Drosophila melanogaster: one gene and its partner. The gene in region 1 interacts genetically with each later gene. Each region holds a gene or a part of one and is shown on either strand. Other genes may lie near its edges.

Region 1 (6,460 bases):
CTTGTGTGGTCCTCAGATTGAGCCTGCTTGGCACCTATGTCGTAGATCTCGATGAACTGTTCAGCACTGCTGATGGCTATGCGGTTGTTCCCGATAAGGCTGGCCGCCAGGATGTCACCGTTGAGGGCATACGTCTGCTGCCTGGCAAAGTTGTAGGCCTGCAGGATCTTCACCATGGTGGCTCTCTACAAAAAAGACGATGAATTCTTTTTTTACGGCACTCTAGAATTACAAACTAAGCCCTCAGCTTAGTGGAGTGACTTCATCGCCGGACGTACACAGACTGATGGCCTCACCGTGAATCAGCCACTAGAGCAGGGAGTTCTCTGACTGAGCGTGGGACAGAGAAAGGGAGAAGTCCGAGTGACAGTGGATTGGCGGACCGCTTAGCGGGGCTCAAGTGGTTCTTATTTGGGCATGTGAACCATTAGCATAATTGTGCGCTTATACTGGGGTTAGGGATCGGAAGAGTGGATGTGCCGATGAGGCCTAAGGCTAGCGCATATGGGCAAGCTAGGCTAGGATAGGGCAGTTAAAAAGTGAAGCACTTAAATTTAATAAGAGTTAGCCGCAGAATATTTCGGGATTGTAGATAAAGTCGCGATCAAAATTAAATCTTTAATCGGTAAAAATTTTGTTAATCTACGATATATGTATGTATACTATCTGGAGTCACAAAAAGTAGGGAAGCAAATAAAACTGTGATAAATACATTTTAAATTGAAAATCCAAAAATATCACTCGCAGTACACCTTTTTCATTCACCATCCGTCTTTCAGAATCATAGATATGCAATCGAACTTTTGAACACCTTTTTTAAAAGAGAGAGTGGTACATTTGGTAAAACAAGAACCCGTCCCAACGTCGTGCGGCATCAAGTATTCCAATAGGTCAGTGCTGCACCTTTACTTCAGGTGGAAGTCCTGCGTTGTTGTATTGTACGCTTTGACCATAGAGTAAACAGACAGGAAATTAGGTCACGATAGTATACAAAAACACGCCCTTCCTGATTTCCGCCGCCCACCACCACCGGCATTCTATGAGGCGATTAAAGTGGGCCCGGTATCCCAACCCCGATTCCGAGTAGCTATACGTGAGTTAGCCCAATTAAGCCATTGGACATTCGCTGGACATACCACTCGGCGCATCAATCAAAACAGCCGGCCAGGAGGCGGACACGGAAGTGGCATAGCCGGAAATAGACAAGGATTGAGATTTATTTCTGGTCGCTCGGTCAAATCAATAATTCCCGCGTAATCCGTGCGTTAACCCAAATGAACTTGGGAAATGGAGAAGCCAGAACATGCAAATGTGTGTTACGGCGGGGAATGGGGTCACTAAGAGATGTGTGTGCGTTTTCAGTTGCATTTTGGCAGCGGCTTATATGGAAAAATCAATATCTAAGCATTTTGTTAGAAGGTGCCGCTGGAAACTTGGCAAATAATTTACTCTTTGGCAATGTCTTACGTTTAAACTCGTTTTATTATTCCATACAGAAAAACAGAAGACAGGGTTTAAGGATTTCTGAAATGCATTCTTCTTCGGCGTAGATGTTCCGACAATATATGTTACTTATTATTAGGTGGTAGTTATGCCACGTAAATATAACTCCCAGGACTCCCCGGACTGCACATAATATTTACTCGCGTTTGTTTATATTATTTCCGAGTGAGAAACGACAAACTATAAAATATCCAATATAGTGTGACCAGGTTTTGCTCTAATGCGAAGTACGGATTGGGTAGAGATAAGTATTTTTCAAACTACGCTAGACTACAAAGCATCGATACAAGGGTACGTTATTTAATACTCTCTAATTTTGAATTTCTAAATAGCTTAGTAATAAGAGAGTCTTTAAAAGTATAAAGCTCCACTACTATCGAAAATATGTTTTCAACAAAATTCTTTACTTTTACTTTAAGGAATATCTAACTAAGAAATGATTTATATCGAAGATATAACACAACTGCTTTGATATGTGTTAAAGAGCATATTTTTATTATTATTATTCCGAATTCTTTTATCAGATTTAAATATGGGAAACACTTTAATGTATTCAGTATTCAAAAATGCATCGGTATTTTAAGAAGTCCCCGCCACGGCCACACTCCTGGCGCGCAGTGAAATTCGCGCAATAATACGAAATGAAATCATGTCCAGCGCACGCAGCCATGTCAGCATGCAGAACAAGTACGACCGCGTGGTCCTGCTGGTGGACATGGACTGCTTCTTTTGCCAGGTGGAGGAGAAGCAGCATCCGGAATACCGCAACCGCCCGCTGGCCGTCGTCCAGTACAATCCCTGGCGAGGTGGCGGCATCATAGCAGTGAACTACGCCGCTCGTGCCAAGGGAGTCACTCGCCACATGCGCGGCGACGAGGCGAAGGACCTGTGTCCGGAGATCGTGCTCTGCCAGGTGCCGAATATCCGGGAGAAGGCCGATACTAGCAAGTACCGCGATGCCGGCAAGGAGGTGGCCAACGTGCTGCAGCGATTTACGCAGCTCCTGGAGCGCGCTTCCGTGGATGAGGCGTACTTGGACATAACGGAGACCGTTAACCATCGCATGCAGCAGATGCAGAGTGTAAGCTCTGGCACATAATTTTAAAGCGTTTTATTATTATTTTCCTCGTTGCAGGGAGCCTTTGCATTGCAACCGCAGGAACTGGTGAACACCTTTGCTGTGGGCTATCCCAGCATTGGCGACTACGTCAACAAGATAACAAATCGCTTCGCCAATCCCTACATGGACGACGAACGCTACCAGATGTCCTACGACCAAAACGACCTTCCCGCCGTCCGACAAAGCGACATTCGGCTTCTTATTGGAGCCTCTGTGGCAGGTGAAGTCCGCGCGGCTGTAAAAAAAGAGACAGGCTACGAGTGCTCGGCTGGCATAGCGCACAATAAGATCCTGGCCAAGTTGGCAGCTGGAATGAACAAGCCCAACAAGCAGACTATTTTGCCGTTGACGGAGACCGCCAGCCTCTTCGACTCCTTGCCTGTTGGCAAGATCAAGGGGCTGGGTGGCAAATTCGGTGAGGTGGTGTGTGAGACATTAGGCATAAAGTTCATGGGCCAGGTGGTCAAGTTTTCGGAGGTAGATCTGCAGCGCAAGTTTGACGAGAAGAATGGGTGGGTCCCTTAAGAGGAGTAGACCACGTTCAAAGTAACTTATTTCCTCTTATTCCAGAACCTGGCTATTTAACATCTCTCGCGGCATAGACCTGGAAGCCGTGACTCCCCGCTTCTATTCGAAAAGCATTGGCTGCTGTAAAAAGTTTCCGGGTCGAAATAACATTACGGGGTTGAAAACCCTTCAACATTGGCTTGGTGAGCTTTCCTCCGAGATCAACGACCGCCTTGAGAAGGACTTCATCGAGAACAATCGCAGGGCCAAACATATGGTGGTGCAATATGTGCAGGACATTGACGGCGAGGAGGTGGCCAGCTCCCGCTCGACTGCTCTCAGAGATTACGACCAGGAGTCCATCGTAAGGCTTTCTCTAGACCTAATCAAGGCAAACACTAAAACGTTTCTGCGTCCTGGTAGCGAGTCTGCTTTAAACAATGCTATCAAGTTCCTTGGCATTAGTGTTGGCAAGTTCGAAACCGTCTCTAGTGGGCAAAACAAGCTGCAGGAGATGTTTGCTAACCAGGCTGCCAAGAAACGAAGGGTAAGTGGAGATGAGCCAGGGCAACTGCCTAAAGTTGAAATGGAGAAAAAGCAGAAGCAAACGGACGAATTTAAGATGAAGAGCTTCTTTGCAAACTATTTGCAAGGAGCTAAAAAAGAGGATGCGAAAGCAGACGGCATTTCTGCGAATCCCTTGGCTGCTGCAGCAGGTGCTCCAAACAAGAATTTCGTAGAGGAATACAAACATAAGCTTCATGCGGCCGTAAGGACTGAAGGAACTGTTCTCACATCAACACCAGCGGAGTTCAAGGAAAGCTTTTTTTCACAGTACCTAAAACAACAAAAAAAGACAGGACAGCAAGGGTCGGTTACATCGAGGGAGGACTCCTTAGATGTGCAGGAGCTGGCCGAGGAATTGGACGCCATTGAGGCTGACAATTCGAAAGATTTTGAAGAAGACACTGAAGAGGAGACGGAGTTAACTAGTGATACCCACATGTCTAAGCCTGAAGGACAGTCATCCGATGCCGGACAAGAACAGGATCCAAACACCTTGAATGATTCAACAGGGAATGACTTATACGTTGAAACTGGTATTGTGCCTCCCACGCTTACTGAAGACGAATTGAAGCCTTCAACATCAAAAAGAAAGTTCGATGAGATCGAAAGTTCTGTAAGTAATTACAAGGAGTGTTACGTAGAGTTTGCAGTACCCAACCTTCGCACCGATATCTTGCCTACTATCAAATGCGATCAGTGCGGAGCAAACATTCCCGACGAAGTTAAGTCCCTACAAACACATAGAGACCATCACTTCGCCCAGGAACTAAGCCGAACGCTAAGAAGCACCGAGCGGGAAGAGAGGACGCAGAGCCGACAGAAGATATCTCTTAAGCCGACGCCACCCAAAAAGAGCAAGAAGACGGCTGGTTCTGGTAGCAGTTCCTACAGTACGGCACCACCGAGTAACAGCATAACCAAGTTCTTCCGCGCCAAACCAACTCAGGAGCAAGCGCCCAGTGATCCACAGATGAATCAGTGCCCCGAGTGTAAGGCTTTCATCAAGTGTGTAGACATGCCGGAACACTTAGACTACCACGTAGCCAGAAACCTTCAACGTGAACTAAACCAGCAGGATCTGCGAACTCGAACCGCAGCTCTGAATAAAGAAAAAATATCTCCAGTTCAGCCAAAGAAACAATCTCAGAAGAAACTGAACTCAACCATTTCTGCATCTTCAAGCGGAACAAAGACAATTGCCCAGTTTTTCAGCCAAAGCAATTAGAGAAACCCTTACACCGCTCCAAGTATTTGAACCTGTATAAGTACCTACGAATGGACCACAGACAAATTTACTTCACTTTAAGATTAAAACATTTTCACATTCAATTCCAAATTAAAAAACAATAATAATTTTTTGCTAGCACATATCCTAGTTATTAAAATCTCAATCTGGCTCTGGACAGCAAATTGATTAGGATTGTTTATTTCTTTTTTTTACTGCTGTTTATTATTTTTTTTTTCAAATCGAGTAATGAAACTCTTAGATTTAATTTTTTTTGTTTTATTTTTCCAATTTTAGGCTTAAGTATTAATGTTGATCATTACCATTACCATCCATCCGTTAATTAATAAAACACAACGCTCTGTCAATGCTAAATATTTTATATGTATAGTATGGTTTGTTCTTAGCGTTATAACACATTTGAAGAGAAATGTATTTGTCTTTGTATTTGCAGGCTGCCTTAAAATAAGATTACGTTAGAACTACTGCGCTTGAGTGGCCGTGACGACTAGATCAAGATCCTTGCTCTTCGATTGCTTCTTGACGCCTATGGCGTCCGCTTCCTGCACTGTTGTAGGTAAAACTACGTTGGTGGTCTCTGGAAAGAACAGCGTGAGCAGGCCGCTCACGATGGCGGCGCCGGCGAAGAGCATGGCAGGAGCATTGGCATAATACTTGGCCTGTGGAGAAAGGGAAAGGAAGCACTTAGATATAACAGGAGATCCTTGTAGCTTTGAGCACCCACCAGAAGAGGCGTCTGCGGGGCCAGCATGGAACCAAACCTGCCCATCATGGAGCAGAAGCTAAGCAGACTGTTTCTCAGATTCGTGGGATAGATCTCTGAGGCGAAGAAATAGAGCACCTGGAAGCTGGCAGTGATGGTCAGTTTGCCAACAAGAAATAGCACCAATTGAAGCACTGGCTGATCCGCGCCGGTGAATATCGTTCCGATGCAGCAAAGACCGCTGGCTAGCATCAGCCCGCAGAGGGAGTACCGCCGGCCGAAACGGTCCATGATGAGCAGGGGCATGAAGAAGCCTGGAATCTCAACCAGGGCGATGTAAGCGAAGTTATTGTACTTGTCTCCATCCAACAGCACAACATTAAGGCTCAATCCGTAGTAGACCAGCACGTGGACAATCCAGCAGAGGGAGCAGTTAGCAATGCGCCACTTGAAGTTCTTGAAAGCCTCTCGTATGGGGAAACGGCTTTCCGACGACTGCTGCAACTTGTCCCGATTGGCCAGCACAAGCTTGTCCAGCACGCTCTCCGGCAGCTCGCGCTTGTTCACATGGGCGGCTCGCCGAAGGATATTCTTGGCCCGCTCCTCCTTGCCCTGACTAAGCAGCCAGCGCACACTCTCCGGCAGGATCCAAAAGTAGGCCAGCAAGATCAGCGAGGGCCCGTACGTGATGCGCAGTAGGATCCGCCAATCGTGGAACGCCTTGGCGGACATCGCGAGCAGCACCTCACCCACCGCGTAAAAGACCGTAATCACACTGCACGCCAGCACGCGTCGCTTGGGTCCCACTAGCTCG
Region 2 (5,202 bases), on another chromosome or scaffold:
ACAACGGAGCTGCTGGAACAGCTGGCCACCTTGGATGCTGAGTGCAAAAAGTCGCTAGCCCATAGGGTTCTAGCCGGCAAAAATGGAGCCCACGATGCCCTGATCACCCTGTTGGAGGAGACGCTCTCTGCTGAGTCACCCAACGAATCCGTGTTAAAAAAGTCCTTGGAAGCCATCAACAGCCTGACCCACAAGCAGCCGGATCTGTTTGATGCCGAGGCGATGGCCGTGGTTCTCAAGTTACTGGCCCTCAAAGTGGAGAGTGAAGAAGTCACCCTGTTGACTCTTCAATGGCTGCAGAAGGCCTGCATCATGCATGAAATGAACCGCCAGAATATCATGAATACCTCCGCACTCAAACTCATGAAGCCCCTTTTAGGGAAAGGGAAGGACCGCCTGGTGCGTGAACTGACCGCCGTCTTCCGCTTCCTAGTGCTGGATGATGACATTCGCGTTGAGTTTGGATGCGCCCACGAGCACGCCCGCCAAATAGCAGGCGAGGTGCTCATCACCTTGGTGGAACTTTTGCCGGCCTATCAGGATCCTAATGTTCTGGCTGATCTTCTGCTGACCATTGGAACACTGGCTGTGCGTCAGGAACTCTGTACAGCTATCGACGAGGCTGGTGGACTGAAGTCCGTCTTCGAGATCATGAGTTCGAATTTGGATGAGGTGCGTCTAAATAGAGAGGCCTTAAAGTTGCTACGTGCCCTGGCTGGCCAAGACTCCGTGAAGTCACATATAGTACAGCAGGGCGTGGCTCCTATAATAAAGCAATTGCTAGAGACGCACCAGTCCAATGAAAACATCGTTGCCGCCGCTTTGGCCTGCGTGACTACTCTGACACTCCGAGTGCAGGAACACAGTGCCGCCTTTTTCGATACCGGCATCGCCGAAGTAATCGTGGAGGCTCTTCGCGCCCATCCCAAACACAAGATAGTCCAGCGAAACGGAGCGTGGGCCATCCGCAATATGGTGTCACGGTCGCGGAACCAGTGTGAAACCTGGATCTCCTTCGGCGTTGAGGATCTACTAAATATGGCAATGAAGGAGCACCCCAGTGTGGAGCAGGACATCAAGGCGGCGTTGCGCGACCTCGGCTGTAGTGTCCACTTGCGCGAGGAATGGACGGGCACGGCGGAGAAAAAAATTGCCGCCTAATCGCACACACATATGCCTTTTGTATTTTTATATATTTACTGCTAAATTATTACTATTGCTTAATTCATGCATTGGCTAACTAACAAAATCGGCAATCCTCAATACCAATCGCGTGCTAATACCCAACTGGGGCAGTCTCTTATGATCACATGGCTGTGGACTTATTTGCCCAGGTTAAAGTTGCGCAGCGAGCCGGCTTTAAGACGCTGGTTGACATTCCGGGAAAGGGCGGTCGAGGATCTGATTGTGGAAAGACCCTCTTCCTCGGCGCGCTGCGCAAAGGGGTCAACCTTCTCAGAACCGCCCATTCCATTGTAGACAAAATTTGAGCCCGTCGTGGCCGTCAACGCAGAACTACTTGAACTTCCCAGCAGCAGTCTTGGCTTCTTGAAGATTGAATACTGGGGGAATATACGGAATTTTTAAATGGTTAAGTGGAATTCGGCAAAATTATTGCGTTTACCTTTTCACTGAGATCACTGCTGGTTTTCCGTATGGTTCCGCTGGTCATAGACACACCGCCACCGACTCCCTTGATGGGCGATATTTTAGACTTGGCCAGCCCAATGTTACCCTTAGTATTAAGAAGATGCGCCAACCCGACGCTGCTGGATTTAATGTTGAGATATGGGGAGGTGGATTCTTCGATGCGCTTAATATTCTCCTTCTGTAGGGCAGCAAAATATTAGTAGCTTATATTTTCGTTTATTCGTGTCTACTCACAACTGTAGGGGAAATAGTGGTACGCCTTTCCTCCCTTTTAAGGGCCAAAATGTTGCTGTTCAGACCACAAGAGGCATTTGGTGAGTCCAAGTAAGCGGTCTTGTTCTCAAAAGCTTGTAGCTGAAAAGATAATAGTATGTTTAATCGAAATTGTGTTAAAGAAGGCTCAGCAAACCTTCTCCTGCGCCTGGTAAAGGTCGCTCTCCAGGTGTGAAACACGCTCTTCCAGCTTGCTGCAATCGAATGAGCACATATCAATTATAAAAACCACGTTTGGAATGTTGTGAGCATACCGCTTTAGTTCGATCTCCTTTCGCAGATCATTCTGCACCACCTTCACTACATTCCTGAGCTCCGTCTTTTTGCTCTCGCATTGTCGCAACTCCCTCTTGAGAGTGGACACCCAGTTGGCTAGGACATGTGGATCAGCCTCGTTCTTGAGCAAGCGGTCGGCATCCGCCGAGCCAGCCGCCAGAATAGCCGATATGCCTTCCATACTCTGGATCTGTGATTTCAATGTTTTGTTTTCCTTGCGCAACCCATCAACGACATGGGCATCACTCTTGAGGACGCCAATTTGCTCGACATAGCTGCTGATGAGAAAATCCTTCTTTTGCACCTTCTGCTCCAAACCGGCTATGGTTTTGCTGCAAATGAGAAATGCATCAGTCTGGTACTTAAGGCAATGTGTATACAAAAGCATACAGGCACTTCTTTTGTGTTTCCTTCAGATCCCGAATCTGCTGTTCATCCTTGTTGCGCTCTTTTTCGACCATTTTCATGGACAACATCGCATTGTCCAGCTGCTCCTGCAGTGAACCAACATCGATGTGGCTCACATCCAAGTTGGCCAGATTGAAATAGACCCTAAATATGTTGCGGGTAGTGCACTTATTCCGGCACTGAGGACAGGTCTTTGATCTGCGAAAGATATTTGATTTTATTGTCGGGAATCAGAAATATCCTTATGCGTTGTTTACCGATCGAGCCATTGATTTAGACAGTTGTGGTGGAACATATGACCACAAACTGTGGCAAAAACCTCGTCGGCCTGGCCAAACAATTCGGCGCATATCACGCAGTTTAAGTTCAACATTTTTGGCACAAATAACTACATAAAAATAGTTATTACAAAAGAACAACAAATAAACGCACGCCGAACAGTTTGCGCGCCCAACGAAACACAGCTGACTGATGGCGATTTTACGATGCTCCAATGAGCGGAATTCACCACACCAGTATTTGTCAAGAATCGATTGTAGACAATAACTGTTAGCTGATAGATATTTCCACGACAAACTAATTGCTAACTAACTTGGCTTAAGTCGAAACAACAAATAATGTTTACAAATACGCTTACTCAGCCACTGAAACTAAAATTCATCCTAAATTTTAGAAAGATATGTATGTGTGGATACTTTTTAAACCCTACTTCTTAAGATATACTGTGGATATAAATTTCATATTTTATTCTGCCAATCCATCTTAAATCCAGCTACTTATGCTCCGTACTTTAGCCCCATGGTGGTCTTATCGATAACAGCGGGAGCACTGTGGCGCTATTTACGAAAGCACACCGTGTGCTTTCGATATCGCGACAATGCTATCTAGAGGTGGAGAAACATCGATGTTTTAAAGAACACAACACATCGATGTTTTTCCACCTCTTTTAAAAGTCGTCAAATAGCAATAATAAATAGGAATAGTTATAAATTTGTGCATTTAATTTCGTTCGTTATTTGCGTTTCAATCGACCGTGGGTCCCAGTGAGCTAACTGCACCTGCACCCAAAGCGGAAGCTGAGCGAAAAGGTGTTTCATTTGGCGTGCGCATTTCGACACCTTTGTCAACGCTGATTCTTATTTGGTGGACCGACGACTCACACACACGCGCGTACCAATATAACAGACACTGAAGTGTGTGTGGAAGGGACAGACAAACAACCGTGCGATAACAACAACAAACGGCAGTGATCGCGGCGAGAAATGGAAATGGCCAACAACATGGTCAGCAGCAGCAACAGTGGCGGCGGTGGCAGCAGCAACACCACCTCCTACGGCAACAACAGCTACAACAACAGTGCGGTGGACAGTGGTCACAGTTCGCACAGTGGTGTCGGTAGCGGGGGCGGTGGTGAGGGAACGGGAGCGCGCCTCCGGGATGTTTGTACCATCCTGAACACTGGCCCCGCCGCCTATCAAAATCAAACAGGTGGCTATGCCTACGACCACATCATCGCCCTGATGAGGAACCTTGATCTGCAGGACGATGGCATTGTGCTGAACTCCAAGATCAAGACCATCGAAACGGACTTCTGCAACATAGTGCGCGACGAGTCTATGCTTTGGTATGTGTGCCGATCTCTACCGTTTGGTTGGTTCGCTCATTGATGATTAATCATATCATAAGTAGTGTGTTTATTTGCCACCTCTTTTCGCATATACATATGGATGTATGTAAATACCCGGCGTAGGTACAGTGCGGTGCGATAGCATATGGGCAAGGCGAGCTCCCAAGCCCATCAAAGCCAGCCATGTGATAACAAGACTTAATGCATGCAGTACATATCTGCCTGGCGAAGACCGATCCTTATTGTAATATTTATGACATTCCATTACAAGTAGCATGAGTAATTCGTTAAATTTGGGAGCTTGTGGCGTTCGCCCATAGGTTACAGCATTCTATAAGTTATTCCAATAATGAAATGCTTGAAATGCAGAAACCGAATTACTAATCAAGTTCAAACGTTAATTTGTTTTTACGCGTTCAAGAACCCTTGGGTTCTTAAAGTGCAACTTTGTAAACTTTTCTTCTTACTTCATTATTTTTAGGTTCGAAAAAGTTTTTGCGACCTTCTACATATACATTTCAATTTTATTAAATGTCTAAAAATCGATTTATAAATCTGAAAAGCACTGTATTTGTGTATATGTGTTCGTGCACGAGTTCGTTGTTTGCGACCAGGTTGCTCGAACGTCAGCGTGTCTTGAAAATTTACAACTTTTCATACAAATAAAGACGGGCAGAGAGACATCGGCGCCATCGAATCATTTCAAAGTGAACATTTTTCCCTCCGATTCTCTCAGGCTCATGCTCGAGTTAATTGCTGAACAAATAGTTCGCAGCTTGGGCTTATCAAACAATGCTGCTATGCGTTATATCAGTGGGGGTGTTAAACACAGTTGTAGTGCAAACTTTAACATTATGAAGTAGTAGTAGACTTGATTATTATAACATACTAATAAATGAAAAGTAAATAAACTAATTGTATTTGCAATTTTCAGTGAGTCAATGGAGTACCTGAACGACAAGGCGCTT

Evidence for each region.
Region 2: of PolH (region 1) and nopo, changing one suppresses a phenotype caused by changing the other (phenotypic suppression), as found in Drosophila melanogaster (one study listed by BioGRID).

Annotation. Positions count from the first base shown.
Region 1 is NT_037436.4:21,937,462-21,943,921, reverse strand, and holds PolH (DNA polymerase eta), read left to right. Parts: upstream 1-2,109; 5' UTR 2,110-2,152; coding exon 2,153-2,584; intron 2,585-2,638; coding exon 2,639-3,135; intron 3,136-3,193; coding exon 3,194-4,922; 3' UTR 4,923-5,288; downstream 5,289-6,460. Other genes in the region: CG14562 (uncharacterized protein), read right to left, coding at 1-176; SLC22A family member, read right to left, coding at 5,405-5,602, 5,668-6,460. UniProt on the Drosophila melanogaster protein: DNA polymerase specifically involved in the DNA repair by translesion synthesis (TLS). Plays an important role in translesion synthesis, where the normal high-fidelity DNA polymerases cannot proceed and DNA synthesis stalls.
Region 2 is NT_033778.4:18,178,500-18,183,701, reverse strand, and holds nopo (no poles), read right to left. Parts: upstream 3,086-5,202; 5' UTR 2,981-3,085; coding exon 2,865-2,980; intron 2,806-2,864; coding exon 2,590-2,805; intron 2,532-2,589; coding exon 2,178-2,531; intron 2,118-2,177; coding exon 2,060-2,117; intron 2,005-2,059; coding exon 1,885-2,004; intron 1,829-1,884; coding exon 1,625-1,828; intron 1,563-1,624; coding exon 1,323-1,562; 3' UTR 1,183-1,322; downstream 1-1,182. Other genes in the region: CG5721 (uncharacterized protein), read left to right, coding at 1-1,161; CG5726 (uncharacterized protein), read left to right, coding at 3,870-4,231, 5,169-5,202.